Linked DNA regions of Diceros bicornis minor. The protein of the gene in region 1 interacts with the protein of each later gene in a biochemical or structural test. Links are inferred from orthologs where the notes say so. Each region holds a gene or a part of one and is shown in the gene's direction. Other genes may lie near its edges. The genes, in order: TOPBP1, RAD9A and ATRIP.

Evidence for each region.
Region 2: the proteins of TOPBP1 (region 1) and RAD9A form a complex in vitro, tested with the Homo sapiens proteins (4 studies listed by BioGRID). The link is inferred for Diceros bicornis minor from reciprocal best matches to the Homo sapiens genes TOPBP1 and RAD9A.
Region 3: the proteins of TOPBP1 (region 1) and ATRIP form a complex in vitro, tested with the Homo sapiens proteins (2 studies listed by BioGRID). The link is inferred for Diceros bicornis minor from reciprocal best matches to the Homo sapiens genes TOPBP1 and ATRIP.

Annotation. Positions count from the first base shown.
Region 1 is NC_080741.1:18,704,946-18,715,388, forward strand, and holds the start of TOPBP1 (DNA topoisomerase 2-binding protein 1), read left to right. Parts: upstream 1-6,248; 5' UTR 6,249-6,338; intron 6,339-6,957; 5' UTR 6,958-6,964; coding exon 6,965-7,048; intron 7,049-9,015; coding exon 9,016-9,150; intron 9,151-9,658; exon of another isoform or gene 9,659-9,788; intron 9,789-10,443. UniProt on the Homo sapiens protein: Scaffold protein that acts as a key protein-protein adapter in DNA replication and DNA repair. Composed of multiple BRCT domains, which specifically recognize and bind phosphorylated proteins, bringing proteins together into functional combinations.
Region 2 is NC_080770.1:6,136,440-6,147,011, reverse strand, and holds the start of RAD9A (cell cycle checkpoint control protein RAD9A), read left to right. Parts: upstream 1-5,819; 5' UTR 5,820-5,939; coding exon 5,940-5,973; intron 5,974-6,066; coding exon 6,067-6,137; intron 6,138-6,592; coding exon 6,593-6,721; intron 6,722-7,149; coding exon 7,150-7,264; intron 7,265-7,351; coding exon 7,352-7,451; intron 7,452-9,341; coding exon 9,342-9,451; intron 9,452-9,548; coding exon 9,549-9,658; intron 9,659-9,737; coding exon 9,738-9,802; intron 9,803-9,893; coding exon 9,894-10,031; intron 10,032-10,572. UniProt on the Homo sapiens protein: Component of the 9-1-1 cell-cycle checkpoint response complex that plays a major role in DNA repair. The 9-1-1 complex is recruited to DNA lesion upon damage by the RAD17-replication factor C (RFC) clamp loader complex.
Region 3 is NC_080741.1:49,799,160-49,809,663, forward strand, and holds the start of ATRIP (ATR-interacting protein), read left to right. Parts: upstream 1-5,629; 5' UTR 5,630-5,704; coding exon 5,705-5,951; intron 5,952-7,836; coding exon 7,837-7,967; intron 7,968-9,049; coding exon 9,050-9,220; intron 9,221-10,504. UniProt on the Homo sapiens protein: Required for checkpoint signaling after DNA damage. Required for ATR expression, possibly by stabilizing the protein.

The DNA of each region.
Region 1 (10,443 bases):
GAAGTGGCAGATTCCCCGGGAGAAATGTGATTGCAGAAAGTCATCTCACTTCTCTGTATTACCCCGCCCCTCTTCCAGAAAGTTGGTACCTCTAGTCTCTAATGCTCTTAAATAGATGTTTTTTGGTGCTGTATCCACATCTCCTAGATGCACTCAACAGGACACAATTCCTGCAAAGCTACTTCATCACGACACAAGCACAAGTGAGGACTATGTTAGATACTAATTTTTAACCTTCATTTTTTAAGGCTCTAATATATTATTTCTGAATGAATGAATTTCACAGGTTGTTGTGCTCATTTATAACATTTCCTTCCTGCATTTATTCATACCTTTGAAAGGAAATAGGGTCTCTGAGGGCAGAGACTACATTTTTCTTGTTCAACATGTTAATCATATGTTGGAAAATAGTGCCTAGGATAACACAAGGCTCAAAAAAGTGATCATATAGATAAATAAATGATTGTTTCAAAAGTAGGTTGAGCAATCTTCTCTGCAGACCTGTGGGCAAAAACCAAATAGGGTCCAGAGATGAACATTCCTCCCAAGGTTAATGATCCACCTAAAACTAACACAGCCCAAATCTATCAGGGCCAAGGCGCCCTCTGACCTCTGAGTGGAGCAAACTTGGAAAACCTCCTATGTACAAGGACAAAGTCATATTGCAAAGGCAGGAATCCAAAGTGCTCAAGCCATCTCTGCTGCGTTGGCACAAACTCTCACAACAACAAAGCAGAAGGGTAGAAGATCGTGTTGTAGGAAACAATTTAAAGACTTTATGGCAAGAATGGTCTTTGGAAAATTAGGAGTTTGTAAATTTATCATTAACTGTGTACCAGGCATTGAGCTACGTGTTTTTCAAATATTAATTTATAATAACCCCATAGGTAAATGCTATTCTCATCCCCATTTCATACAGGAAGAAAGTGAAGCACAGAGGGGTTAAGTCACTTGCCCAAGGTCAGACAACTAGTACGTGTCAGAGCCGGCATTCCAACTAGGCAGCCTGCTTCCACAATCCATGCTCTTCTCCATGTGGCCTCTGGCATTTGTCTCTGGAGCAATTTCACTCTTTCCTCTTTCCAACGGCTTTGTGATAATAGAGACAATTTTTGAATTGGCAAAACATTTGTCCAAATCTTGCCAAGTTTGGGATTGATTAGGTTGGTACCAGCTGCCATAACAGATGAAGCTCCAGATCTCAACGGTTTAATATGATAGAAGTTGACTTTTGCTGATATAAAGCCCAATTGGCAGCAGTGATGGTGATTTGTTGGAGAGGCAGGGATGGGGAGTTCACTTTCATAGCTCTGGTCAGTCGTTTAGAGATCCAGACTAAGAGAGGCTCTGCCACTTTCAACATGTGGCTTCCTAGACTGCCCTGAGTGTTGACAGCCAGAATAAGGAAAAGTATGGAAGGTAGTATAAGAGTCCTTTTTATGGACTAGGCCTGGAAGTAATAAACATCAATTCTACCTATATTCTATTGGCCATAACTCAGTCACATGACCCCACCTAGATGCAAAGAGGATGGGAATTGGAATCCCTGTCTGGGCAACGTCTTCCCAGCAACAACATGCACTATGAAAGGGGAGCATACACCTTGGATCTTTTCTCTTAGTCTGAGTTCCCCCAGAAAACAGACTTTCAGACAAGACTTTTCAAATGTTTTATTTAGTAAGTAAAGAAACACAGGTAAGAGAATGGGGAAGTGAGACCAGGAAAATAAGGCATCCAACGGATGTATTAATAAGTCAGTTACCACGTGGAGACCAGGGCTTAATTCCACTGGGGAAACTATGTGAGCCAGGGTAGAATATCCCTCCAAGGGGCTTGCAAACAAGAGTCTTTGTACACCAACTCCTGTCAGTCACTGAGGGTTTTTTCCATGGGTCATAAGTCCTCTTGCCCTTTGGTCTACTGTGTAGGTGGCAAAGCAGACTCCTGGTGTCAGAAAATGCCTTCATGCAAAGAAACACAGGTGCTGGCAGTTGGAAGTTTCCTAACGTGTTTAAGAGTGGGAAGGTAGAGGGGATATGTGTGGGAAACTAAGGGTCTGCTACACGGTCTCTACCAGAATCCACCTTATGGTCCAGTGACATATGGACTAAAAACACAGGCTGCTGCCCACCCCTACTCCTGCCCAACTGCACACCTGATATACAATGGCGGCACAAGGACAGAATAACTACAATAAAACCCTTTCAGAAAGGAGAGGAGGGGAGACCCATAGCCATTGCTCGTCAGTACAAACCCTGAAGTCCTACTGGGCAGGCATCGGGTGGCTCCTCTGCCTGATTAGATTCAGATTCTGTTCTCTGAAAGTAGCTCCATTGCTCATTGCTCTCCGAGGTCCCTGGCACCTCTCTCTAGGAGGTTCTTCCTTTTCCATTATCCTCTGTCTCCATGTCTAGACAGGGTATGGAGGAGTCTGTTCTCCTTGGGGGCTGTATGACATTTCACCCACTTCTGACTATGCAAGCTTGAAGATTGTATCAAAGTTTGAACACTCCAGACTTCTGGTTTCTTTCATAGAGCAATTGTCTCAAAACTCCAGTAACCTTCAGATCTATTCGCTTCCAGTCAGTTTCATGTGGTAGTCGTCAACCTCTCACATATAAGACAAGGTCAAGGGCAAGGCCTGACTGATTAGACTGGTGAAGATACATGAGACACTTTTAGATTTAGATCGCTTGTTACTTCTATAGATAGCAAAAAGGAAGAAGAAGCCAAAGGTGCCAGCTCCCAGGGTCCTTGTCCCAGATACCAAAAAAGATGACACTGAAACAAAACAGGCTGTTGTGGGAAGCCCCATTGCTGAGGAGCCAAAACTAGACAGCAGCTAAGTGGTTTCATATTCTGCAGCTCTATTCTGAGGGGAGTGGTGCAGAAAGCCCGATACCTCATCAGAATCTGGGAGGCGATGAGAAACTGATGACAGCCTCCGAGGGGAGGCAGGAAGATGAGTGGGAGGTGGCCTCATAGCTAGCATCTCCTTAAAGGACCCCACTCTCTTGTGTTCCAATAGGATCACAAGGTGTTTGACTGAGGCTCAGACATGCTGCAATTCCAACCTCTGCCTACACGGATATGTGCAAGGCTGCCAGGAAGCCATGGCAGAGCTGTTCCCCTACGGTAGTAGCCACACACACAGTTCTCTCCTAGACTAATTTTCAAGACTAATTTGCTATCCTTGGCCCCATCCCTCTCTCTCTCTCAATTGATGGTGCCTACCCAGCTTGGGTGGGAGGGCCATATTCTTAACTAGATCTTTTCTACATGGATGGGTTGTAATAGACATTTGTTGCTCAAAATCTCTCTCAGACTGATCTGTTGTTTTTAGGGTCTAGATGCAGCCAGCTTTTCTAACCTTGCAAAATGCCATATTTTTGGATTTTTAAATTCCCTTTTATCTTTCGCTTGCAAACAAGCTCATTCTTCCCTGAGCTAGGCTTTCTTATAATACTGAATTAAACGCAGCCAGTAGCAACCAATATGTGCCACTTACATTCTATTTTGCCTCCTCTTCCCTGCACCTCAGAAGACTCAGTATGCCTATGTTCTATCTTCCAGGTTACTGAAGATGACAGTTTAAACAAATGTTTTGCACTGCAAAGACTATTTCTGCAGCAATAAAGATCATTTACTAATTTCATTTTTAAACTATACATCCCTTTATACATATTTATTCATTTACAGCTCTGGAAACTTAAATATAAAATCCTCAAAAATCTATTTTTAGTTTAGTTTTTAATTTTGATAAGTCTTCTCTATGTAGCAAAATATAACAGAAATAAATACTTATATTACCACCACCCATATTTTAAAAGTAACTATTTTGTGATATTTGTTTCCTGTGTTTTTTCATTCTACAAACAGATAAAGTTCCTTTTAATCCTACTCCAAGCAGGGTCTGGAGTGTTTGGTTCCAGGTGGCAGAAGTGCCAAATATTCAGGGAGGTGATCCTAAATGCCAGAGAGGTGAGGGGAAAGTTAATCCCTGAACCCCATTTTCTGAGCAGCTTCTTGACAGCACATCACAGTTATTCCTCATTTTTACCAAAATCTTCATGGACCACAACCCACGTAACCACTCTCACCCTTTCCTAAAGGACTGCGGGTCAAGTAAACCTTAATGTGCAGGAGAATCAGTTAGAGGGCTTGTTAAAACACAGGGCAGTGGCGCCACCCTCAGAGTTTCCGACTCAGTAGATCTGGGATGGGGCCCAAGAACTTTCATTTCTAACAAGTTCTCAGGTGATGCTGATGCAGCTGGTCCAGGCACTACACTGGATGGAGAACCACTGTTCTAGCTAATGCCCAAGATTAGGTACTTCGGGGACAGACACAGACTCTCTCTGCCTATGTGGAGACACAGATGGGAGAACCTGTCACCTGGTCTCCCATTCTAAAGATGAGGTCGACTCCTCTGCTATTCAAATCCAGCTGCTAAAAGCTATACGGTTGTGGGGCCGGCCCCGTGGCGTAGTGGTTAAGTGCGCACGCTCCACTGCTGGCGGCCCGGGTTCGGATCCCGGGTGTGCACCGATGCACCGCTTGTAAGGCCATGCTGTGGCGACGTCCCATATAAAGTAGAGGAAGATGGGCACGGATGTTAGCCCAGGGCCAGTCTTCCTCAGCAAAAAGAGGAGGATTGGCATGGATGTTAGATCAGGGCTGATCTTCCTCAACAACAACAAAAAAAGCTAAAGGTTGATTTCATCATCCTCCTCCTCTTCATTAGCAGCATCTCTGACTCTCCTACTCTCAAGAGACCTCTCCTCAGCCCCAGAAATGTCAGGAATGGGCTCCTGCCCCAGTGCTGACCGAGCAGAGATGGGCAGGAGCAGGTAACAAGGAGCAGTGTGGTGTCAGGAAGGGCACGGGGTTCCAGTCACGCCGCCTCTTGTCACTTCCCGGCTATGTGGCCCTGGGCAAGTCACACAGTCCCTGAGCCTACTTTCCCCATCTGCATAGCACGGGACAGTGATGCCCACATACTAGAGAGTGCTGAGTAAACGGGAATAGTGCAAGCAGGAGTCCTTTGTCAACTGTAAAGCACCCTACAAATAGTAGTTACTATTACAGCTTCACGATAAATTCGCTCCTTTACAATTAACTGTGGCATCGTCTTGTTTTTTTTACAACTTTATTTCTAAGCCTTTCCTCACCTTCTCCCCAACAACAGGCCTTTCGAGTTCCAGAGTTACTGATCTGACTCACCTTCCACGGGTGTACTCACACACTTAGACCCAAGCTGCTCATTGCCATCTGTAGGAACTAGAAAGAAAAATAAAAACAATCGAGGTACATCGCCTTAAGCTCTCACATCACTCAATCCAGAGTCATGCGCTTCTCAATCTCAAGAGTCAAAAATAAAATGAGAAGAAACACTAACTAAGCAGTTTGTCATCGGTCATCAACAAGCAAAAACTGCAGTCCCCTTTTACCTCCTCTCCCCCGATCTCTGCTATTTGAACATTAGGTTCCATCCCAGAATCTCCCCAACACTCAGGGGGAGCTACAGGGAAAGAAAATGAGAAGCTCATTGAAAGAGGCGGCATCTTGGTAAGGACCCCTTTGCACTAGGTGTGTAATTCAAGTCACCCTGACTTCTTTCTTCCCTTCAGGCCTCTTGGCTGTGGCAGCTGGTGATTATACTCCTGCTATATTGGAGGAGAAAGAACCCAGTCCGTGGAGTCAAAAAGAGGTGGATGCCATCTTAATTCTACCACTTACTGTGTGACCTGGGACACATCATTTGACTTCTCTAAGCCTCCGCTTTTACATCGGTAAAACGCTGTTTGCCTCATAGAGTTGCTCTGGATGATAACACATGGTCTCGCGCACTGCCTGGCATTCGGCAGGTGTAATAACTGAGGAAACCCTCTTCTCCCCCGGCTTTCTTTTTCCCTGCGTTGGGACCTCCTCTAAGGTACTCCTGGCCCGCGGCCCCGCCCCCTGAGCCGTGGGGCCTGGACCAATGCCCAGCGGAGCCCGGCCCGCCCTTCAACGCCCTGAGCCCCAGAGAACGCGGCCCAAGCCCCGGAGCAGCCCTCCGCCGGCTGGCACGGCACTCGCCGCCCTCACCACCTTTGCCATCCCCGGCCTCCTCCCGCAGCGGCGGTGGCGTCACTTCCGTCGGAAGAGGCGGGCACGTCCGCGCGTTGGCGCGAAAGTCGGTTCCCGGCCTCGGCTATTTCCGGGTTCTGCGCTTGCCTCGGGCCGCGGTCGCCGCCGGGGGCGGGGGTGCGCCGGGGGCGCGCCCGACCCCAGACGCCGTCCGGCGGGCCGCACTCCCGCCACCCGCCGCCCGAAGACCCCCAGGCTGCGGCGAGGTCAGTGCGGCCCGGAGCGGGACCCAGCTCCCTGCCACCACAATTGGGGGGCGCGACCCCTCCTCTGGCCCTCGGGGCACTGGTAACCGGCCCTCCGACCGGCGGGTGGGACTCGGGCGCCGGAGGGTTGTGGCTGCGGCTGGACCGAGAGCCAGGCCTCTCCCTGGGAGCTGGGGAGCCGGAGCGGCGGGCCTTTTAGGGGGCATGACCTTGCTAAGTGGCTTCCATGTTTATATTAATGTCCGTTTACCGAGGGTGGACAGGCTTCGAGGGCCGGGGAGACCCACAGGGACAGATTCGTTGTGTGTATCCTTAAGCCAAGTGCAATTGAATGTCCTTTGGCTTGGGGGCTTAGAGCCCCATAGCAAAGGCCCTCAGTGTATTCAATTTAGAGACATTAATTTCGTTCTCTGATTTGCAAAGATTGGTGTTTTCATCTTTTTCCTTGACTTTGCCCACGTTCCTGCGTTTCTTACAAACGTGGTGGACGAGTTCCTGTGCAAGGCCAGAATGTCTATCCTTAGGCATTCTTGTTTGCACAGAAGAATAGGTGCTTTAAACATGTCACTTCATATCTAATGTGTTGTCGTTCTTGTTAATGGCTCCTTTATTTTGACAGTTCAAAAATGTCCAGAAATGACAAAGAACCGTTTTTCGTGAAGTTTTTAAAGTCTTCAGACAATTCTGAATATTTTTTTAAAGCTCTTGAGGTAAGAATAGTTGGGAATGTCTTGTTTGATGCTGTGAATTCATCTTTTTTTTAGTGTTTTTTATTTATTGGGCTTTTTATTCTTAGTTTATTTTTATAATAGTTTTACTGTAGTCTACATTATTATAGCTACGTCATTGTTAACATATTTTTGAATTGATGTTAGTATATCATTATTATGTATTTTGGGGGACTTGAAATCTATTATGACATTTCTGTTGAAAGTGGCACGCCTGCTGTTCTTAAAAATTAAGTTGCTTTCTTTTGTCTACTACCCAGAGTAGACCTTCGTGTGTTGAAAAAATTTAAGTCAGTCATGTACTGGTTACACTTCATTTTCTGGTTGTTAAAAGTATGTTTCATTTTTTACAGTGTAATATGGAAGGCTGTAGGGTAGTGTAGAGCCTTGCTACTCACAGGCCTCAGCAGCATCCGCATGGCCTGAGAGTTTGTTAGAAATGCAGAATCTGGGGCCCCACCTCAGACTTAGCAATTTGAATCTGCATTTTGACAAGATCCTCAGTGTGATCCTCGGTGTACATTAAAGTTTAGGAAGTACTGTTGTAGCAGGTATTTCTTTAAAGTTCATTCATTCAGCAAGTAATTATTGAATGTCCGTGATCTGATAAGCGCTGTTCTAGTGCTTGGGATACATCAGTGATCAGAGCAGGCAAAGATCCATACTTTCTCAGAGCTTATGTTCTGTTCTAGCAAGAGGAAATAGACATTAATCAGACACGATAAATGAGTAGACTATATAGTATGTTACAAGGTGCTAAGTACTATGGGAAGAGAAAAGAGCAGAACAGGTTAAGGGGTTCTGGAGGATGTTTGTGGGGGCAGAAGGAAAAGGGAGAGAGTAATTTTAAATAGAGTGTGATCTGGATAGCGTTTATGGAGAAGATGATATTTGAGTACACTTGAAGGAGGTGAGATAGTTAGCCATGTGGATATCTAGGGAAGAAGGTTTCAGGCAGAGGGAACAACCATACACAAGCCCCTGGGAAAGTGCTTGGAGAGTCTGTCTGACGTAGTGTGGCTGTAGTGTAGTGAGCAACGGATGGGAGGAGAATATTAAGGGATGCTTCAAAGTATAAGAGTAAAGAGGCCATGTAGTCCATTGTAAGGACTTGGGCTTTTTCTTTCAGTGAGATGGAGAGCCACTGGAGGGTTTTAATCAGAGGGGTTACATGATCTGACTTAATTGTTTTAAAAAGATCATTCTAATTATTTAACATAAGGACTTCAAAATTTGTTCAGAAAACAGGTGCTTACTGAGTGCCAGGATGTGGTGGCAAACCCGCTAGACCATGAAACTGTCACTCTTATAAGTGAGAAAGGCAAACACTATTTACATAATATCAATGTTATTTTTCTTCATAAAATAGACTAGAGGGATAGGGAAAGGGTATTTCAGAAGGCATAATCAGGAAAGGCATCTCTGAGGAGGTGACATTTGAGCAGATCTGATTGAAATGAGGGACTAAGTCAGGGGAAGACCTGGGAGAGGAGTATTCCAGGCAGCAGGAGCAAGAGCAAAGCCTCTACCTGAGGTCATGCTTAGCTTGTTCCAGGCCTAGAAGAGAAGCAGGAGTGGCTAGAGAAGACTAAGCAAGAGGGATGAGCGAGTGACAGACGGTCAGGGTGGGGAGATAGGCAGGGCCCAGACTCTGTGGTCTGTAGGCCGTTGTCGGAATGTGGATTTCATTGAGTGTGGTGGGAAGCTATTGGAAGTTTTTGAGCAGAGAGTGACGTGACCTGATTACTAGCTGCTGTGTGGAAAACAGATTTAGGGCCAGGGAGAGAGAGGGAACCACTTCGGAGACGTCTGCAGAGGTCTAGGTGAGAGATGATGATAGCTTTCATAGGGAAAAGGCTGGATTTGAGATGGCGTTTGATGATAGAATTCGTAGAACTTAAATACAGGTGAATAATTTCAGGTGCATTCTTATTTCATTTTTCTTTCAGTCAATAAAAGAGTTCCAATCAGAAGAATATCTTCAGATTATTACAGAAGAAGAAGCATTGAAGATAAAGGAGAATGATCGATCACTTTATATCTGTGACCCTTTTAGTGGCATTGTCTTTGATCACCTCAAAAAGGTTTGCTAACTTTTAGTGTTTTCCTTCGGCAATCTGTTTTTTGGTTTGTTTTTGCTTCAGTGGATGTAAGTTCTTTACTGATCATGAAATATTACACATATTATGCATCCAGAGGAATCCTTTGGTTTTGGGAGATCAGAATGATATTTTTAAAGGCTAATTATGTTATAATAGGCTTTTGTTATATGTACTTTTTATATTTCAGGGGATTTAACTTCACTTAGTATAAGTGAGCTCTATAGTAATGGAGCATTTCAGTGATAGAGTTCTACTGTACTTGAATTCAGTTTGATTGGGAGATATTTCAGGGAGAAACAGTAAAGAGTAGGAAAGGCCCTCCACATAACGCTTCGTACTTAACCATCTTTCCTATGTGCTCTTGCATGCAGAATTTTAGTACCTGTACCTTGTATAGGGTCTGAAAAATTGTAAGCTAAAAGGAAGCATTTTGGGGGTGAATATTGCTAATATACCAATGAGCCATCTTATTTCTTTTTGTTGATTCTAGAGTCTACTGACTCATTACTTTTTTGATGTCTGGACAAGAGAGAAGCCTTGAAATAAAAGTAAACTGGCTGTAATTCCATCCAGATTACAAAGAAGTGATTCTTGTTTGAAGGAGACGAAAACATAGAAGAGTAGGTAGATGCAGTATCTGTACAATTTATGGAAGGTCTGTGCCCACCTTAGCCAAAAGCATTGCTAGTCTCACCCTCCTGTTGGAAATAACATGTTTTGTCAGAATGAATAGCATCAAAAACTCAGTTTTTTTATGGCTGATCAAAAAAATAGCAGTAATCATTTACCCTGTAAATATTTAAATCAGTCATGCCCTGGTGACTTTGGCAACTATAGACTTTTTAGTCTGGCTTGAATGTGCTGACGATGAGCAAGACTGTCATCTTTCTTAACTCAATTATCAATGAAAATGAGAAGTCATTTTTTGAGTAACCTGCAATATCTTAGGAGAAGTCTTTGTGGATCTTGCTTGGAAAGACATTAAGTTGCAGACAAAGTTTTTAAAACACAAATGTAGAAACTGCGTAGGATTATGTATTTTTTTGTGACATAAGTATTTTAGAGGAGGGTTATTTAGTCTCCTATACTTTTAAACTGCTTCATTGGCTGGGTGCTTCATTTGAAAAGTATTATGGATATTTGCTAATTATTATAGCATAAGACTATTACTCATATCCTCTGTTATTAAGAATGTGTTTCAGAGATTAAAATTTTGATGGCAACTTTGAGTGAGTGTGGCTCTTGAAGCTTATTTCTTTTGATAACCTGCATTGT
Region 2 (10,572 bases), on another chromosome or scaffold:
GGGGGGTTGAGGAAAGGGCCCGGGGACTCAGGCAGGGCCCCAGCCTGGAGGAACACGACACTGCCTCCTGCGTCCCTGCAGCCCAACGCCTGCCTCCAACAGGGACCTCGAGGGGTGGTCTTAGGGAGGCCAGGTCACCTCCCTGCTGCCTTCCCCACAGGCCAGCAGGCCCCAACAGCCCCCTTCCCCTAACCCATGAATGGAGCTGTCATCCACGGATTTATCTAAACCTTTTGTGAAGCTATTTATATTTCCAGCTGAGACCACATCTTGGGGTAATGAGTTCCATCGGTGTCCCCCCCGCTGGGTGAAGCACGCTGCCTTTGATTTGCCCTAAACTTACCTCACTCACGCTCCAAGGGGGCCCTGTCACTCCAGCATGCCAGGTTGTGGCGAACAAGCCTGAGCTTCCCCCTTCCCATCCCTGCTGTGGGTTTAAAAAATTCCATCCCATTTCCCCTCCACCTCCAACCCTGAGATTGAAGAGACCTGGTCTCATCTGTGCACGGAGCCTGGCAGCGCAGGCACAGCCATTACCTCATGCCAGCCTCCGGCAGCTTGCGAGGACGGCAAGGACTCACCTTCTCCTCACGAGGCAGAGGGCACTGAGGGCCCAGAATTGAGGCACGGGCTCGCGGCAGCAGCCGCAGCTTCCCCCACACCTCTTCTGGGGGCTGACTTCTGCCCCCACCTGAGTCCTCGGAGTACTTTCCAGTCCCTGGCTTCAGCCCTTTTCTCGGTAATGTTTCTCTGGGGGGATTTTCCTCCCGGGTTCCTGATGTGGATTCACCCTGGCTTCGTCCACACTGATGATTTATTTTGACCCCGGTCCTGACCTTAGAATACTGTGAGGGTTCTCTCCAGAGATGGAGGACGGAGGTGGTAGGACAGCAATAACAAGAACAACACTGACAGTGTGTACAAGAGCTTTACAGACATCACCTGAGTTAATCCTCACAACAGCCCTGTGAGGTAGGGACCGTTATTACCGCTCCCCCAGTTTACAGATGAGGAAACTGAGGCTCAGGGAATACAAGCAGCGTGTCCACTTGCACAGAACCTGGAAGTGATGGAGCCAGGATTCAGACCTGGGCAGGCTGGTGCCCAGAACCCCACTGTCCACCTCAACAGACAACCTGAGTTCAAGTCTTGGAACCTCTCTGAATCTTATACTCCTCAGTCTTTCCACATATGCCTATGAAACCACTGCTATGTGCCAAGCTTCTTCTGGTTGCTGGGAGAAATGCCGGGGAACGGGAGAGCCCTGGGCGGGGCTTGCCTGTGTGGGCTGGTGGCACCTGGTGTGCCACAAATGCATTACAGGTGGGCAAGTAGGTAACCTCACCTGCTTGGTTACCCCAGAGTAACCCACAAACACCATTCTCTGTGTGTGCACAGCACAGCAGACTCCCATTGGAGCCTTGGCACAGGCCACTCCCTCTGGTCTGTCTCTCTCCCCTAGTGGAAGCCACGAGAACAGAGATTTTTGTCTTGTACTCTCTTTCCCGAACTTAGAAAAGTGTGTCTAATATGTGTTGAATGAATGAATTACTGAGCTCTAGGGATTCCTGTGACTTCAAAACTAACCAGTTGGGTGAGAAATAATGGCTGAAAGGAAGAAATTTCCTGGCAGATAATTATGTTAAGAGTTTGAAATGGTAACCCCCTTCTTCTGTTCCCTATCTGCCCCCTGCACACATTCACACATTCCCACATGCTTACATCCTCATGCGCTTGTAGGAGGCCACCTCTAATGTGGGTGTGGCGCAGACTGTAAGAACTTGGGGTAAGAACCTGAAGGAGCCTCTCATCCAACCCCCTCATTTTGTCAAGGAGGAAACTGAAGCTCAGAGAAGGGCCTGGACTTGCTTGAGGCTTACTGTGAGTAGGGCTAGAGCCACACCCAGGTCTCCTGACTTCTGGCACAGACCCCATATCGTCTTTGGGTCCCTATACCTATCCCTCACCTAACACAGCGTTCCTGACAGTTGAGAGGCCCCCTTCCCCCACTGCGTGTCCTCCCTTCTGGCCCTGAAAGGTGTTATTGGCTGTGCCAGCTGCAAGCCTGGGGAGGCTACTTGCCCTGATTGGAGAGCTCCCTTCCAGCCCACAGCCTGGGGGAAGCAGGACGGCCAATTACAGCTCCTCTCCAGAGCTGTGGCCAGATGAGGGGCACAGGGAAACCGGAAGGCCCCTTTGGGATCACAGCGTGTCAAGGGTGGAAGGGACCTCAATGTGCATCTCATGCCACCAACCACATTATACAGACAAGGAAACAACTGCAGAGACAGGGAGGGACTTGCACAAAGTCACACAGCGAGTCAGTGTTGAAGCACAGGCTGGAAACCCAGGACTCCTGATTCCCAGCTTTAGACTCCCTTCCAGTGTCCGAGGCCTTCCGAAGGGTCAGGTGATTCCCCACTTTTGGCAGGTGTGGGTGTGTGACTGAAGAAAGACGTTAAAAGTCCTACAGAGGGCCGGCCCTGTGGCTTGGTGGTTAAGTGCGCGCGCTGCGATGCTGGTGGCCCGGGTTCGGATCCCGGGTGCGCATCGAGGCACCACTTCTCCGTCCATCCTGAGGCTGAGTCCCACATACAGCAACTAGAAGGATGTGCAGCTATGACATACAACTATCTACTGGGGCTTTGGGGGGAAAAAATAAAATAAATAAAATCTTTAAAAAAAAAAAAAAAAGTCCTACAGAGGGCCGGCCCCATAGCTTATCAGTTAAGTGCATGAGCTCCGCTGCTGGCGGCCCAGGTTCGGATCCCGGGCACGCACCGACGCAGCGCTTCTCCGGCCATGCTGAGGCCGCGTCCCACATACAGCAACTAGAAGGATGTGCCACTATGACATACAACTATCTACTGGGGCTTTGGGGGAAAAAAAGGAGGAGGATTGGCAATAGATGTTAGCTCAGAGCCAGTCTTCCTCAGCAAAAAAAGGAGCATTAGCATGGATGTTAGCTCAGGGCTGATCTTCCTTACAAAAAAAAAAAAAAGTCCTACAGAGTCATGTCTCCCTCTCCCTCTCCCCAGGGCCTTGTTCCAAAGACCTCAGGGCCACAGGACCCTACAGCCCCACAGGGGTCAGGGCAGAGGCGTGACTGTGTGGTTATTCACGGCTTCCCCTCGTGCCTTCCAGGGAGCTTTGGTGTCTTATCTCCCGTTCCAGTTGCTCAGGTAATGGCGTGGGGCAGAGGTGGAGAAGCTGGGAAGGCTATGCTGATTTACACCGGCAGAAAAAGACAGGGAGAGAGATCCGGAGAGGAGGAGGAAAGGTAAGGACGAGAACAGCTCATGCTAGGTTCCTTTGTTTTTTTGACAGACTTGGGGGGGACAGCTATTGTCCAGGGAAGGGTGGCACTGTGGGCAGAGGCCGGAAGTTAGATTTGTTTCTTTCATCACCACACCATGCTAAGAGTGACTTAGAGGCAACTCAGCTTCATTTGGATCGCACACTTGTTCACTGAACACATACTTATTGATCATCTACCGAGGGCCAGGCCCTGTGTGGGGCCAGGCCCTGTGCGAGGCACAGGGGTACAGCAACAAAAGACACGGTCCCTGCCCTCACGTTGCTGACATACCAGTGAGGAAGACAGACATTAAATAAGTAGACACATGTATGAAATAACATTGAGTTGTGATAAGTGTTGTGTTAACATAGCAAGGGCTCAGCTGGAGAGTCGGAGGAGGGGGGATGGGGGGCAGACAAGGCCCATCTGAGGATGGGCAGCTGAAGCTGAGCCCTGAGGAAGAGAAGGAGCCAGCAAGTGGCGAGGCTGGGGGTGGGAGGGCGGCGTGAAGAGCATTCCAAGTGGTGGGAACAGCACAGAGATCCCAAGAGTGGAAAAGGATGTGGTGGGTTCAGGAAACTGACAGGGCCAGCTGGCTGCAGAGGAAGGCCAGAGACAGGTGGAGAGATGGGTGGGCCGGCTCCTGAAGGTTCAGGGTAAGGAGTCTGGATTTTATGGCAAGTGTAGTATGTGGCAACCACTGGAAGATCTAAACAAGGGAGAGGCGTGACACGATTGATGTTTTAGGAAGGTCACTTTGGTGCTGTATAGAGAGGGGACTGGAGGGGACAGGCTGCAGGCAGGAGACCCCTCAGAGAGCTCTTACAGTCGTCCATGTGAGAGATGACGGTGGCCTGAGCCAGGGTGTCAGTTGTGGAGATGGAAGAGGAGGGCAAAGTTGCCCTCTGTTTGGAAGGGGAGCAGTCAAGACTTGAGGAAGGATTGTAGTATGTGGGGTGAGGGAGAGGGTGGTGTCAAGGATGACTCCCAGTTTACTGATCTAAATGCTGGGCAGAGGTGGTGTCATTTGCACTGATCTTCCTCCCCGGAAGGGGGAAGGGAACAATAACCTCCCTCCTCACCCCCCCCCCCGGCCCCCACCCCAGTGCTCTAGAGAAGGGCCAGGCTGGAGAGCGAGGGGAGCTGAGGGCAAGAAGGAGTAACAAAGTAGGGTTCAGAATTGCAGGCCAGGGGGCTGGCCCCGCAGTGCAGCAGTTAAGTGCTCACACACATTCCACTCCCGCGGCCCAGGGTTCGTATCCCAGGTGCGCACCCACGCACTGCTTGTCAGCCCATGCTGTGGCAGCATCCCGTATAAAGTAGAGGAAGATGGGCACGGACGTTAGCCCAGGGCCCATCTTTCTCAACAAAAAAGAGGAGGATTGGCATCGGATGTTAGCTCAGGGCTGATTTTCCTCACACACACACACACACACACACACACACACACACACACACACAAATTGCAGGCCAGGAGCAGGAGAGCCAGGGACCCACAAATATGGCCTACTCCCCCCAGAGGGCCCCCCAGGAGCAAGACCAGGCCAGCCCTAAAGGAACGCAGGGATGCCCAGGGCCCTTCACAGAACCTTGGTGCTGCGGGCAACTAGAGGTCAGAGAGTCCCTGCAGGGCATTCTCTCCCACCTTACACACGTGGGGACCGAGGCCCTGGGCAAAGGGAAGACCTCCCTGCTGATGAACCCTTCCTTTTGCACAATCCAGGAGTCTTTTTTAAATGGCCCCATAAGCACGACACTACCCTCGTAAAAAAAAGTTTCCAGCGCTCCCCAGTACTGCCCCTCAACATTTGGCAGCCCCCACACCTCTGCGAGGCTCTAAGACCCACTTCTCCGTCCTCCGGGCAAAGCCCCACCACCGCTGAGCCTTTACTCTCGCTCTTCCTCTGCTAGGTACCCGCTTCCATCCTCTTCCACACAGAGAATATTTTGTTCTTCAAGGATCGATGAAGGATCCTGGAAGCCAGAATGAAGAACCACGTCCCACCCCGGGATCCGGTAGCCCGTTGCTTTAATCTCTTTTTAGCGCTGGTGGGTGCTGCTTGTGTCCGAGTCCCCGGCCCGGTCTCGGTGCGGACGATCTGGCTTCGACCCGGTATCCCCGACAACGCCCAGGAAATCCGTACTAAATCAGTGACCTAGGTGTGCTGGCCCGCACATCTCAGGCCTCCGAGCCCGGGGCTCGCTCCCCCGCACCGGGCACCTCGTGTCCTGGGGCCGCGTCCTCCATGCTCCTCGCGTTCGGGTGCGCAGCCGCGGGCGCGGCCAAACGACCCGGTCCCCAGGGGCGCGGGAGGCCGGGGGTGCGCCTGGACTGCAGGAAGCAGCAGGCACCGCCACCGCCGGGCGCTCCTCGCTCACGTGACCAAAGCCCGCCCCGGCACCGACTCCGTCACGTGACTGCGGAGCCGGCGAGCGTTTTCTCACGTGACGGAGGCGCGGGTGTGTGGACCAATGAGGATGCGGGGGCGGGCCCGTCGGGGGCGGTGCGCGCGAAGGGAACCCTGGCATCAGCGGCTGGCGGCCGGGAGACCCGGAGGCAGGCAGCGAGTCAGAGCCCGTTTGGGGGCCAGCCGCCAGTCTAGCCGCTGGCGGGCCAGGCCCGGGCTCGGGCTGGGGCGGCATGAAGTGTCTGGTCACGGGCGGTAACGTAAAGGGTGAGTCGGGGCTGACGGGGGGGGGGGGGGCGGGGGCACGTGGGACGGCCCGAGGCGCCAGCCTAACCCCTGTTTCTCCTCTCCTCCCCGCAGTGCTCGGCAAGGCCGTCCACTCCCTGTCCCGTATCGGGGACGAGCTCTACCTGGAGCCCCTGGAGGACGGGGTGAGAGGCTGGGGTATGGGGAGGGGTGAGATTACGACGGGGAGCCCTAACCTGGGCGAGTCTCGCCTCCCGTGGGCAGATTTGTCTGCTGAGTTTCAGTTTCCTCCCCGCCGTCACTGGGGCTTCAGTTTGGGTCCTGTCATCTTCCCAGGCCAGTGTGTGAATTGAGAGCGGTTGCCCTCCCTGCAATGCCCAGTGGCGGGTGGGGTGACTTGGGGAAAAAGTGAGTGTGCTGACGGCTGGGTAGGGCCCTTGGCTGTGGGAGCAGTGCTCAGGCGGACTCAGGGAAGACTTCGTGGAGAAGGTACTCACTGACTGGAAGGAGAGGGAGGATTTCTACAGGTGATGGTGGAGGTGGAGGACATTAGGGCAAGTGTGTGAGCAAAAGTGGGCCAGAGGGCTGGGCCTGTCGCTGCCCACTGACTGCATCCCTCTCCCTGCTTCTCCTGGCCCAGCTCTCCCTTCGGACTGTCAACTCCTCCCGCTCCGCATATGCCTGCTTCCTCTTTGCCCCGCTCTTCTTCCAGCAATACCAGGCGGCCACCCCTGGTCAGGACCCCCTGCGCTGTAAGATCCTGATGAAGGTGAGGCCCTTCCCTCACCTGCACAATGCCCCCCCACCGTCCCATCGAACCTCCACCAGCAGTATGTCTGCTCTGGGGCACTGAGTAATTGCTGACTGGGGAGAGAGACTATGCAGAAGCCATCCAGTGCAAAATGCAGTGAAGGGCATGATGAAGACACCAACAGAGGGTAATGGGAGATATGGAGGAGGGGATTGATCCTGCCAGGGACCTGGAGAGAGTGGTAACATTCAAGCATGTCTTTCAAGGCATTCCAGACAGGGGGAACAGCATGAGCAAGGGCCTGGAAGCGTGTAAACATTCTGCATGTTGTGGGAGCTCCTTTCCTGGTGTGACAGTGCTGAGCCGTGGTGGGCCAGGGCCTGCAGGGGACATGAGAGCTGGTTGGTGCAGGTGCAGCGCTGGGCTAATATGTTTCCCCCACTCAGTCGTTCCTGTCCGTCTTTCGCTCTCTGACAATGCTGGAGAAGACCGTGGAGAAATGCTGCATCTCCCTGAATAGCAGGAGCAGCCGCCTGGTGGTCCAGCTGCACTGCAAATATGGTGAGTAGGCAGCTGGCTGGCCAGGGAGTCCCTAGCTGTGGGGGTGGAGGTTGGCAAGGCCCACTGAGACCCTCTCTGCCCATCCAGGGGTGAGGAAGACTCACAACCTGTCCTTCCAGGACTGCGAGTCCCTGCAGGCTGTCTTCGACCCAGCCTTGTGCCCCCATGTGCTCCGTGCCCCAGCCAGGTGAGCACGCCCCCTGGCCGCAAGCTCAGCCCTGGGTCTCTCTTTTCCTTCTTTGGGGCCTCAAGGGCCCATTTAAGAAAGCACCTCTTCCATTTTCCCTACAGGGTGTCTGTGAACCTCAAAGAGTTCATCCAGCTCAGTTGGCTCTCAGGTCCTTGTCTGGCTCTTTAAGGGCAGAGGCTAGAGTGGAGGAGGGGCAGGATGCTCCCTTGCTCCACGTTCCTCACTGTCTTTAGGAGCCTGTATTCTCTACCTCAGAGGTCCAGCTTGGCTTTCTGGTCGCTCAGACCCATTCTGACTTCTCTTTTAGACAGGAGGTCTCTGGCCTGAGCAGCCTTGAAAGTCCCTAATTAATCTTTGTGGCTCAGGGGCTCAAAACTCTTCTCTGGCCTGGTCATCCTTCTGGGAATGTTCCCCATTCAAGGGCAGCCTCTCTTCCTACCTGCCCGGGCTCTAGCCTTGAGAAGTCCCCAGGCCAAGGCAGGAGGCTGGGTGGGGAGGTTGTCGTCCAGGAGGGCCGCCTGAACAAGCAGCCACAAGTAGGGTGGACGCGTTCTGGGCAGTCCGAGCACCTAGAGGCCCAGGAGGTGGGGCCTTCAATGGAGACAAAGGTCCCTGATGAAGACCAGCACAGGGAGGAATGGCTCCCCTCCTGCCCCATGCTGGACGCTGCTTGCATTTAAGTAGCCCCAAGTCTTGTTTGTTTCTTTTGGTAGCCGTAGGACATGATAACCTGAAGGTCCCTTTGGGTCCTGACAGTCTGTTTTTCTGAGTTCTATTGAGATGGCACTGCTCAAGATTCCTTTGGGTAAAGAAAGAGGGAAGGCTCTTACCTCTAGTCTGGATTTTGAGGCTTTTTTTTCTCTCTTTTTTTTAATGAGCAATTGTTTCTCTCTCTCTCTTTTTTTTTTTTTTTTTTTTTTTTTGCTGAGGAGGATTAGCCCTGAGCTAACATCTATTGCCAGTCTTCCTCGTTTTTCGCTTGAGAGAGATCGGCCCTGAGCTAACATCTGTGCCAGTCTTCCTCTGCTTTATATATGGGATGCTGTCGCCGCATGGCTGACAAGTGTTGTAGGCCCACGCCCAGGATCTGAACCCGTGAACCTGGGCCACTGAAGCAGAACGTGCTGAACTTAACCACTATGTCATGGGGCTGGCCCCTGTTCCTCTTTTTCTTATGGACAATTTCAAATACATATAAAAGCAGATGCCAGCTCCTGTTCCAATTACTTTGAGGCAAATTCCAGATGTTACTTCATCTGTTAATATTTGTCAATTTATTTCCCTAAAAGACGAGGATTTCAGGGCTCTTTCTGAAGGCCCAGTTTATAGGGACAGCGTGACTGTGGTTTCCCACCCTTGGATGGGCAGGTGCTGCCTGCCTGGTTTGGTTGGGTGCAAACAGCCCATCCTTGCTGCTGCCTTCTCTGGGCTCCACTCTTGTCTGCCCCATCCCTTGCAGTGGACTTCTCTCCCAAGACAGCCCGGGAGCTTTTGATGGGGCAGGGACCCTGTCCTGCTCACCTGGTCCTCCTCCCTGGGGGCATGCTAGGCCTGGCCCGCAGAGGTTCTCCTGGGATGCTGGTGTGTGTTCGCTGCCCTGCCTTAGATCCTCTGAGAGCAAACCCACTGAGGGGGGCTGAGCCTTGGGTGTACAGTCATGCATCGCTTAATGACGGGGATATATTCTGAGACATGCGTCCTTAGGCGGGTTTGTCATTGTGTAAACATCATAGAGTGTGCTTACACAAACCTAGATGGTAGAGCCTACTACGCACCTGGGCTGTATGGTACTAATCTTATGGGACCACCATCATATATGCGGTCCATCATGACTGACTAAGATGTCACTGTGCAGTGCATGACTGTAATGCTGTGCCCTCCTCACAGGGTCCTAGGGGAGGCTGTTCTGCCCTTCCCCCCTGCACTGGCTGAAGTGACGCTGGGCATTGGCCGTGGCCGCAGGGTCATCCTGCGTAGCTACCAGGAGGAGGAGGCAGGTAAGGGAGCGGGACACAGCCTGGGACAGGGAGCAGAGCTGGGGTGGGAGGGGGTGAGGCCCAGAGGCCCAGGTTCCTTCTGTTCCTGCCCCCACAGACAGCACCGTCAAAGCCATGGTGACTGAGATGAGCATTGGGGAGGAGGATTTCCAGCAGCTGCAGGCCCAAGAAGGCGTGGCCATCACTTTCTGTCTCAAGGAATTCCGGGTGAGGATCCCCACACCCACTTACCACCCTGTCCTCCCTGTCCTGCCCAGGGCCTCACTCTCTGCCTCTGCTCCCCCAGGGGCTCCTGAGCTTCGCAGAGCCAGCAAACTTGTCTCTTAGCATTCACTTCGATGCTCCCGGCAGGTAATTCCCAGCCTTGGGACAGGGAGGGGAGGACCCTCGGGTGCCAGGAGCCGAAGGGCCCTGACCTCGCAGGGACCCATCACCTGCCCAGGCCAGCCATCTTTGCCGTTGAGGACTCTCTGCTGAACGGCCACTTTGTCCTGGCCACCCTCTCGGAGCCATACCCGCACTCCCAGGACCTGCGCTCCCCAGAGCCCTGCCGGCCAGCGCCTCAGCTCCAGGCCCACAGGTGAGGGCGCCTCGACCTCTGGGCACCCTGGCCTGAGCCTGCTGCTTCCAGTGTCTGCACCTCCCCACCCCCCACACTTCCTGTCAGGCCCCAGCCCCTCCAGTGCTCACAGCTTCCAGAGCTTCCAGCCCGCAGGCCCAGCCTTCCGGGTCAGCTGTGTTCGGAGAACCCTCCCACCCAGGGAAGTGTCCCCAAGGTGGGACTGGCTTCCTTCTCTGGCTGAGGCCTCCCCTTCGAGCCTCCCCCAAGGCCAAGGAGGGAAAGGGCTGCCTGGAGGCAGGGGGCTGCTTGGGGTGCGGGAAACAGGTGGCTGGAAGGGCAGGTGGGTTGGGGAGGATGGGCCCAGTGTAGTTTAAGCAGAGGAAGTTTGGTCTGGCCCCCCGCCCAGCATGTCCCTGGGCCCCAGTGCTCTCCAGCTCCTGTCCCCTGGGAAGGTGGGGGCTTGGGCCCCAGGTGGCCCAGCTCACAGGACTTGCTGCTCCCCTCCCCGAGCTGAGCTAAACCTGACCCCAGGATGCCTCCCTCAGGCCCCTACCTGAAC
Region 3 (10,504 bases), about 31 Mb from region 1:
CAAAAATGTATTGGATGAATAAACAGAATTTGCCAAAGTCGCACCAGGACTATATTACAGAACCCAACTCCTTCCGGTGGCCTCCAAAGCTCTAGGACCAGGTAATCTGGCCCCCTCCCACTTCTGCCACCTCCCTCGCATCTCGCTCCAGCCACGCTGTGCATTCCTCGGTTCCAGGAACACGCCAAGCTTCAAGGCCTTTGCACCTGCCCTTTCCTCTAGCCCCACTGCTTTCCCCGTGCACGGTCCCAGACCTGGCACCCCTCCTGGCTTCCACCCCCTCCTCCCCCACCGCAGCCCCGGCAGGACGACCCTCCCCCTCATACCTGGCGCGCCTAGCGCTGAAGCCGCAACCCTACGGAGCACCCGCCACTCAGTTGATCTCTGACCCTCTAGGGCCCGCCTTCGGAGGGCCGCTTCCGGCAATGGGAGAGCAACTTCCGGACTGGGAGCCAATCAGCGGGCCCGCGTGGAGGTATAGGCGCGGGGGTGGGACAGGGAGCTCCGCTTCGGGTGGCAGAGTCTGGGGAAGGCGCGGCAGGCGCCATGTCCGGCCGCGAAGGTGAGTGTGCGAGGACGACGTGGTGGGGCAGAAAGGGGCGGGAGCCGGCGGGCGCCGGGCTGAGCGTGCTCGTGTCGCCCACAGGTGGCAAGAAGAAGCCTCTGAAGCAGCCCAAGAAGCAGGCCAAGGAGATGGATGAGGTGAGGGCGGGCGCCGAGGCGTGGGCGGGCGCGGAGGGACTGGGAAACCCGCCTGGAGTGAACCCGCTCTGCCTCTCCGTAGGAAGATAAGGCATTCAAGCAGAAACAGAAGGAGGAGCAGAAGAAACTCGAGGAGCTAAAAGCGAAGGCGGCGGGGAAGGGCCCCCTGGGTGAGTGAGGGCCGGGTAGAGCTCAAGCTGGACAAACGTTCCGAGCATCAGTCTGGACGCGGGCCCGGGCTGGTCGGTTTCCTGCCTTGTTGGTGAGTTGCGAGGTCTCGGTTCCTCGTGTCCGCTGCGGCGGACGGCCCTAGCCAGGCTTGGATTCACAGCAACAGGAAGCGGCGGGAGCAAAGGGGAAAGGAAGTCTCCTGCCTCCCAGGGAGTTTGGGCTTCCCTTCTTTAGGGAAGCGGCAGAAATGGAAATAAAAATTAATATATCTTAGGCACATTCATACAGTTGAGTTTCCAAATATCCTCCACAATTTCTTGCCCCAAATTAGTATTTCACTGCTTCTTTATTGCTTATAATATTTCTTGACTTACTAGTCGTACTGTTAACTCTAGTAAATACTTTTGCATCCTGAGTCTGCGCTTCAGGATGCACCTAGACTAAAGGTTAAGGTCCAGGCACCTTGGCGTGATTGCACTATATGCTTTTTTAATCTAATTCCTGACCATTCTGCCTCTTGTTTTTCTTTATGTAAGAGGAATTGATTACATATCAAAAGATTTTTCAGTCCCAACAGTTCCAGTACTTTCTGTGCTTCTTAAATCCTGTTTACATTCATCAAATTAGTGATTATTTCCTCCACAGTTGTCTATGCCTTATTGGATTACTGTGAGGCACACTGGGGACAATGGAGGCTGGGATGGTGTGAGTGTCATCCAGGGCTTCCCAAGACCTCTATCGCAGTGGGTTTGATTCATTATTGCTTACCCACACAGCGCTGAGATTCTAGCAATTGAGATTCCTTTTGGGAATGATGTAAGGTATCTTGTACCTCCTCTTAATTTGTGATTATGTATAGGGAGGTCAGTCCTTAGTGAAATCCTACACTACTTGATTCTCATTGAGCATCATCTAATTTTTTAAGGTTTATTTTGTCACAGCTCTTTAGGATCTTCATTCCTGTATTAGGCATACTTAACTCTACAACTATTTCTTATATTATCTACTGTGTGCAAAATATATAGTCATTTGTGAATTGGGTAAAATAAAGTATTGGCTAAACCAGACCCCAGGATTATAATATGGAAGGTAGTGTAGTGTAATGTGGTGGTTAAGAATATGGACTTCAAAGTCAGACTTCGAATCCTGGCATTGTCACATACCAGTTTATAACTTTGAACAACACCTAATGCTAAGACTTTGTTATCTGTAAAATGGGTTGATAGGGGATGAGGATTAAATGAGCCAATCTGTGAAACACACAACACAGTGTAGATCCAGACCAGTGCACAGCCATTACTTGTGCCTCTGCCTCATCCTCATTCTGCATTTGCCCAGAGTAGACAATATTGGTAAAGCCCTGTGCATGCTTGTGTCACAAAGAATGCCCAGTACAAGAGCTGAGCCTTACTGGGATTCATATCAAGCCCCTGGGGCGTCTACCATAAGAACGGTATTTTTCCCTAGCTGAGACTTTTTCCTTTTTTTTTCAGCCACAGGTGGAATTAAGAAATCGGGGAAAAAGTAAGCTGTTCCTTGTGCCTGAGGCAGTGGTGATTGTTAATTCCATTCCTGTTTAAACATCTGGATTCCCTGCCATAACATCTGTTGCCACCTATAATTAGAATGAAGTGTTGTCTTGGAGCCTGTTGTACATTTAAGAATAAATTTTGTAAAAAAAAAAAAATCATACAGTGACTCGTCTTTATTTAGTTCTTCTCACTCAGCCATTTCTACCTTAGCTGTGAGGTCAGAGTAAACCCAGCCCAGAATCCTGCCAGTGTTCTTCAGTCTTTGTTCTATCCCGAATTCTGTACCACCTGGAGTTAAACCAGCTCATTTCAAATGGCTGTTGTTTCTGTCTGGTTGTATACTCAACAGAATACATTACATGAGGTTAGTGGAAGAATTTGTACTTTGGAAAGAAACTCATCTTTCCGGCCGGCCCCATGGCTTAGCGGTTAAGTGCGCGCGCTCCACTGCTGGCGGCCCGGGTTCGGATCCCAGGCACGCACCGACGCACTGCTTCTCCAGCCATGCTGAGACTGTGTCCCACATACAGCAACTAGAAGGATGTGCAGCTATGACATACAACTATCTACTGGGGCTTTGGGGGAAAAAAAAAATTATAAAAAAAACAGAAGACCCATCTTTCTCTGTCATAACATCCATGTTGCCATTTGTTTTAATGGGATTGTTCATCTGTTCATGTAAGTCGAGTCTCCTGTGTGCAGGCTGAGCACGTACCAGTGAACAATTCCTGCTGTCAAGGAACTTCTCTATTGTGGGAGGGGAGCAGGACAAATACATATGATATGCGTTGTGAAAGGAAGAAAACTGGGGAAAGATTCCTGAAAGTCTCTAAGTACCAAGCTTACTCCAGAGCCCCCAGGTCTGCATTTCCACTAGGGCTTCAGAAAGGTCCTTGCTAGGTTCCCATGTCTTATACCCCCCATTCAACCCATCAGCAAAATTAACTCTGGCCCCTTTATTCTTCCTCCAGTACCACCACCACCACCTCCCCATTCTAACCCTAAAATCCCTCACCTGGATTATTGCAATCACATCCATACTTGTTTTCCTGCCCCTACCCTTGCCCCCCTACAGTCTAATCTTCACTCAGGACCCAGAGTGATCTTGCTAAACCATAAAGTCACTCTGTCTCTCCTTGGCTCAGAATTCTTCAGTGCCTTCTTAGAGCACAAGCCAGCGTCCCTACAAGGACCAGATCTAAGGGATCTGGATGCCACTCTCTACCCACTGATATCTTCATCCCCCTGATCCATCTTAAGCCACAGTGGCCTAGGTTCCAAGCAAGCTCCTGCTTCACTGTGTTCGCAGCAACTCTTCATTCTGCCTGTCACTCTTGTGGTAGTGGAGATTCCCTCCCTTTAGAGAACTGAAACATCACAGTAGTGAGCTTTTCTCCGACCACTCTATAAAGTGGCAGTCCCAATATTTCTTACTCCGTTTCATTTTTTTCTCCTGACATTTGTTGATTATCTACCACCCTTGACTCCAGAAGGAGTAAATTCCTGGAAAACGAGATCATCCATAATGTATGCCAAATGCACATGTATTGAAACACTTAATCCAGAGGCACAAGTCTTTGGATTTCCCCTCCAGACCCTTGATAAAATTATAGGAATAATGCTAATAATGCTAAGCTTTCTCTGAGAATGTGTTTTCAAAGGGGCTCTAGAACTAGTCTGAGATTTTGCTGAGTCAAAACTGGAAAAGATTTTGATAGATTGAAGCCTGTTTTATGACTCTAATGTACCTGATATCCACAGAGAAGAAAAAAAAAAAGCCCGCTTTGGTCCTCTCTCAGAAAGTTACACAGCCCGCAGCACCTTCTTTGGACTTTAGGTGTTCCCCGTGAGGCCTTGAAGCTGGCACCCAGCCCTAGGCTGCTGAGAACAACCTTTCTGAGAGGCAGTGCCAGCACACTGCCCCTGAGAGTAAGCTACTACTTTTTTATTTGGTGGAACCTAATCCCTCCTGACAAATGAAGTATAATCCTGTCTCTTTATAGGACCAGAGACCTGCAGCAATTAAGACTTACGCATTCAACATTTGGACAGGTATCTGAGGGAACCTACCAAATGCCTCAAAACTAAACTCAAGTATTTAAGACCCTCTAGGTCCTGACAACCATCTCCCTTTCATCTACTGCTTTCACAAACATTCATAGGACACTCACAGGCTAAGTTTGGCACTGAACATGCAAGGATGAAAAGAGTCTTGTTCCTGTTACTCTCCAACAGCCTGCTCCTGCTAACCGTCCTGCACACCACTGCTGCCGGATAAAATCCTGTCGGGCTCAAGCTCAGCTTGAATTCTTGCTCCTCTGTGAAGCTTTACCTTCTCTCTTTGCCATAGATAACTCCTATCTGGCATTTGTGTGGCCTCCACTTCGGTGTTGTATTCTTGTCTGAGTAGTCTTGTGGGCCAGCCTCCTTGCTAACTCTTGATAACTCCCACCCAACCTGCAGGACAGCCCAGGTGCCACTTCCAGGGAGACTTCTTGACCTCCTGAGCCTTACTCATTTCTGTATGACCAGCGCTTGGGACAAAAACACTCAAGGACTCTCAGAAAAATTAATGAATGAATGTTAACAGCCTAAGCAGTTAGTTCCCACCCTCCTCCAACACAGGCACGCCCTTTTCAGGATTCCCCCCACCCCCTTCTCCTTAGACCTTTCTTCCCCAGACGTACCTCAAATGTACACATTCAAAACATTTACTGTTCTCAAATCCGTGTGCTCACAACAGCTCTATTCATAATCTTCGCCCAGCCCCACTCTCTCCAAGAGAGCCTCGGGGTATGTGAGAGGTAGGTCCGGTGGGAGGAGAGCGAGGTCGCAGAGACCAAACCCCTAAGTGCTGCCTGCCTGGGTTCACGTGCGCACTTGTGAATGTCAGGGCGAACTCCTCCAGCGTGGCTGTGTACCCACGGGATGCCAGGGAGGAAGCGCAGAGCCACCTGCGCGGTGGGGTCGGTGAGCCTCAAACCCGCAGTCCTGGTATCTCAGTTCGCGCCGCCAGAGCTCCCGCCACCGACCTTCTGAGTTCCAGGCGCCGGTACCCGAACGGCGGGGCCCAGAGGGCTGGGCGCCACCGAGGACAGGCACTCAGCTGAGCACGGCGGCGCGCTCGGATGTATGTCATTCCTCCGCGCCCGCCGGCTGGCAGCTGATTGGCCCTTAGGATCGGGGGCGTGGCCCGAGCGGCTGAGGCGAGCTGCGGCGCGCGGGCGGTTGGTCCAGGTCCTCCGTCTCGCGGCGACCAGGCCGGGCTCGGTGCCTTCGAACAGTGGCTGGCGGCAGGCATGGCTGGAACCTCCGCGCCGGGTAGCAGGAGGCGGAGCGGGCCCCCGGCGCCTAGCCCTGGCCCGCCACCCAGCACCGGGCACCCTCCGAGCAAGCGGGCCCGGGGCTTCCCCGCGGCCGCCGCCCCAGACCCTGAAGACCCTTTCGGCGCGCACGGGGATTTCACCGCCGACGATCTCGAGGAGCTCGACACCCTCGCGTCACAGGCCCTGAGCCAATGCCCGGCCGCGGCTCGGAACGTGTTCAGTGAGTGCATCTCGGGGCCTTTTCCCCAGAGGGTGGTGCAGACCTCGCCAGACCCCCCTTGATGGCTGTGGCTTCGGAACCCCAGGGCGACCGTCGCCCCCGGTGTCTTGCACCCACACTGCCCCTTCACCTTTTTAAAATATATGAACAGCTTGATTTAAGCAGCGGTTGTGTCCCAAAAGGTCCTTTGATTTTGAGGAGAAATGTATCAGGAATGTCAAACAGCTGATTTGAAATATAGAAAACTAGGTTAACATTTTACTTTAGTTTCTAAAGTTTGCCACTAGGTTCTTGGTTCTAAGCCGAGATCCTTGAAACACGGCTACCACCGCCATCGGAACCATCACTGCCTGTGCATGGGGACCCATTCTCGTGACGGGTTTGGGAGGCTCTAGATCTAATGAAGATCACGCTCTCCCTTGGGCGGCATGAGCATAAGAGAGGCCTGGCAGAGGCAAGAGATGAAAGAGTCTTATTCTTTTATACAACCAATAAATTGTACTAGGTGACTAGACCTTAGGGACTGCAGCACACTTAGTAATGAATAAAAGACATAAAGCCCTTCCTTCATGGAGCTTACGTGATAGTTGGGGAATGAGTGAAGTCTTGTGGGGCTCCCAGAAAGAGAAAGGTTTTGAGAGCACCTTGCATCTCTACTTGGATGTCTCAAAAGCATCTTAAATTCCACACAATCATTTCCTGGAAATCCAGCATGTCCAGCACACTGCCTGGCAAAGCAGATATTCCGAAAACACTCATCAATGACCAAATGTTCTGCACAACAATGACTAGCCCGCTCTCCATCAGGTGGCACAAGGCAATGGCTCCGTTTCCTTGACCATACGTCTAATTCCTTTCAAAATCCTGTAACTTTACCTTCTTATTCCTTCTCTGGAATCCATCCTCTTTGCATCATCTCTACCATATCTCTGATCTATGTCACCATTGCCCCTCCTCTGGACAACAGTCTGGACAACTCCTTGTCTCCCTGTTTCCAGTCTTGACTCTCTGCAAGTTGGACTTCACACCACAGCCACAGTGATCTTTTCAAAACTCAAATTTGTCTGTGTCTCACAGATTCACGCGAGCATCCCTACTGAAAGCCTTTAATGACTTCCCACTGCTTCTAGTATAAAGATCAAAATCTTTAACATAGCCTGCGAGGCCTAGCATGGTCTGTCCCTTTCCCACTCCCTGAATTCTAGCCACACTGACTTTCCTTCATTCTTTGAATTCTCTCTGCTTCCTTACAAGACAGAAACTTTGCAAGTTGCTGTTTCTTGTACATTGAGTGTGCTTTCCATCCATTCCCCATCCCCATTCATCTGGTTAATTCCTGCTTGTTCTTCAGCTATCAGCTCAGTCATCACTTCCTTAGGGAGGCTTGCCAATCATTCACTTGGGTCAGATCCCTCTATTATAGCCTTTCCTATATTTGTTCTCCTCTGCAGCTTTTATCACAGTTGTAATTTTACATTTATTTGTATGATTATTTTTGAATGTCCTGTAAATTCCATGATTGTAAGGACTATATCCATTTTGCTCGCTATTGTACCTTTAGAGACTAAATTGTGCCTGGCATATTATAGGTACTCAATAAATATTGTTGAATAACAGATCACAGGGTTCTAACCAGTGAGATCCCCACAGCTCCTTTCAACCTTTAGACTCTTAAAATTGAGTGGGGGATGGGGTGAGGGTAGCAGGATCTGTTATTTCATAAAGATCATTTATGAGTTTAAATCATGTTCTTAGGTTGGAGATATGTATATTGCTTACTAGATCTTTCTCTAATTTGCTTTCAAGAGTGATTCTTTTCAGCATTGTCTGGCAAAGGTGGGAAAATATTGGGTCCTGAAAAGTATATGGGAACTGTTTTTTACAGATGTTCATAAGGTCCCCAGATTAGATGGGATGTCAAAAAATCCTGCAGGGAAAAACAGAGCAAGTGTTCCAGTTAAAGATAATTTTGAATTAGAGGTACTTCAGGCACAATACAAAGAACTTAAAGAAAAGGTAAGTGACTTAATTTGTGGTTTTGTAGTTACTTCATTCACTTATGCATGTATTATAAAGCATTGTACAATAAAATATATAAAAGTTTTAAAACAAGAGCCCAGATTCATCTCCATGAAATGGAGGAAGGCTGGGGAAAGAAAGCCAGAAAATTTAGGCTGAAATAAACTAAATCCTTGGTGAACATGATGTAATCTAACAGAAATCAAAATATAGTGATGCACACCTGAAATTTATATAATGTTATAAACCAGTGTTACCTCAATAAAAAAAAAAAATATATATATATATATATAAAAGAGGGGCTGGCCCAGTGGTGTAGTGGTTAAGTCCACGCGCTCCGCTTGGGTGGCCTGGGATTTGCGAGTTCGGATCCCGGGTGCAGACCTACGCACCACTCATCAAGCCACGCTGTGGCAGGCATCCCACATATAAAGTAGAGGAAGATGGGCACAGATGTTAGCTCAGGGCCAATCTTCCTCACCAAAAAGAGGAGGATTGGCAACAGACGTTAGCTCAGGGCTAATCTTCATCACCAAAAAAAAAAGAAAAGTAAATCCTGAGATTCCTAACAGCCAAGGCAAGAAAGGAAACACTGTACACCAGATCCAAAAAGAGACACAAACTTTCTGTTTTAGCACGGAGATAAATTTATAGTATATGCCTTATATAAGGAACACAACATCATAATGGTTGCTATTTTCATTAGCAGTTTTGCAAAAAAAGCAGACATCTTTCATATGACCATCTATAGGTCCCTAGGAAAACCAAGAACATAATGTGGAATTTTAGTTCTGTGAGGTGTGTGACCCAGATTTTTTAATACCTACTGGAGCCTACAGAATCTGCATGCATAAGTGACAAGTGTGTCCTTAAGCTATGTTGCTGAATATCAGCTGTCTCATGAATGGGCCTGGCAGATCATGGTGACATCTGGTTGGTAGGGGTATATTTTGAGCACTCATTGGTCTGTAGGACATGTTTCACGTGTGCTTTCTCCGTCTCCCCAGCAACATGTTGAAACAAGTACATATATAATTTTCCCTTACAAATTTGTCACAAGATTGATTTGGGATTTACAGATGAAGGCAATGGAAGACGAAGTCCTCCTTAAAAATGGAGAAATTAAAATTTTGCGGGACTCACTGCATCAGACAGAATCCATTCTAGAGGAACAGAGAAGATCCCATTTCCTTCTTGAGCAAGAAAAAACTCAAGCACTCAGTGACAAAGAAAAGGAATTCTCCAAAAAGGTGACCCAGAGCATTTGCTTTGCTTCTTACTGACATCAGCTTATCAGCTTTGTCTGCTCACTGAGTTCCTTTAGAAGCAATGACCAAAGTTGCCTGTAAATCTTCGAGGAGGTTTTCAACAGTTGTTTGTCTTAAAGACTTTCTGGTATCAGCTAATTGCATATACTTTTCTTCCAGGCTTTGCATGTGTTTTAGCAAAGGACTTAGATGAAACTCTGCTTTGCAGGTCTTGGCAGGAATAAATCACTAGCTTAGACTTTCCAGAAACAGACTTAAATTAGGGCTTTTGGGAAGATCAGAAACTCAATTCCCTAGCTTAGGCTAAAAGGAAATAAATTGGCTTCCATAACTAAATCTGGGAAAAACAGGTGTGCTGGGGCCTCCAATGACTCAAGCTGTGCCAGAACTCATCTTTATTCTCTATGCTAAAAACAGGCTCCATCCTTATGGTAGAGGATGTGTTCTCCGGAAGCTCCTGGGCTCATATTTCATGGCTCCAGAGCAGACTGAAAACTTGGGCTCCCTCATCTCAAGCTTTAAAATTCTGGGGAAGGCTCTATTTTATCTAACCCAGTCAGGTGCCTGTCCCTGAACCAGTCACTGTAACCAAAGAGATGCTATCTCCCATTCAAATCGCATAGTCAGAGGTAGGGAAATGATGTTTCTTAGGAGAGGAAGATGCTGTTCTGAAGAAAAACAGTGGGTGTCCATCACTTTCCTTTAGCACTTCCCAATGCTTCAATCTCAAGGATGTGGAGTTTTACTCTGCCATTACTTCATTCAGCAAACTTAGCAAACTTTAAAGAAACACTAACCTTTTCCCAGCACTAACAGCAGTAGTTGCCTTTCCATATATATGATGAAGAGCAAGGGATTTGCAGTCAAAATCCAGAGTTTGAATCCAGGCTTTATCACATGCAAGTGGTAACCCCAGGGTAATGACTTAAGATCCATGACTCATTTCCCTTATCTGTTCCAGAAAATAACCAGAAGGGTTGTTGTGAGGCTTAGATGGTCCTGCACTTGTATCTGGTGCTGTGCCTGGCACAGAATGTGCTGGGGGAATGACAGCAGTTACTGCTAGCTATAGACCCTGCAGTCCAGAGCAGCAGGTCTCCCCACACTGCACAGGGTTTTGGTAATTCCAAATACTCTGCCCAGACTTTGAAGAAGACCTAGAATTGTGCACCACTACATTCATTAAAAGGTCAACACGTTATGGTGAGATATGGCACCTTGCCAAGCTCTATGCTGGGCGTTTTACATTCATCATTCTTCTTTAAT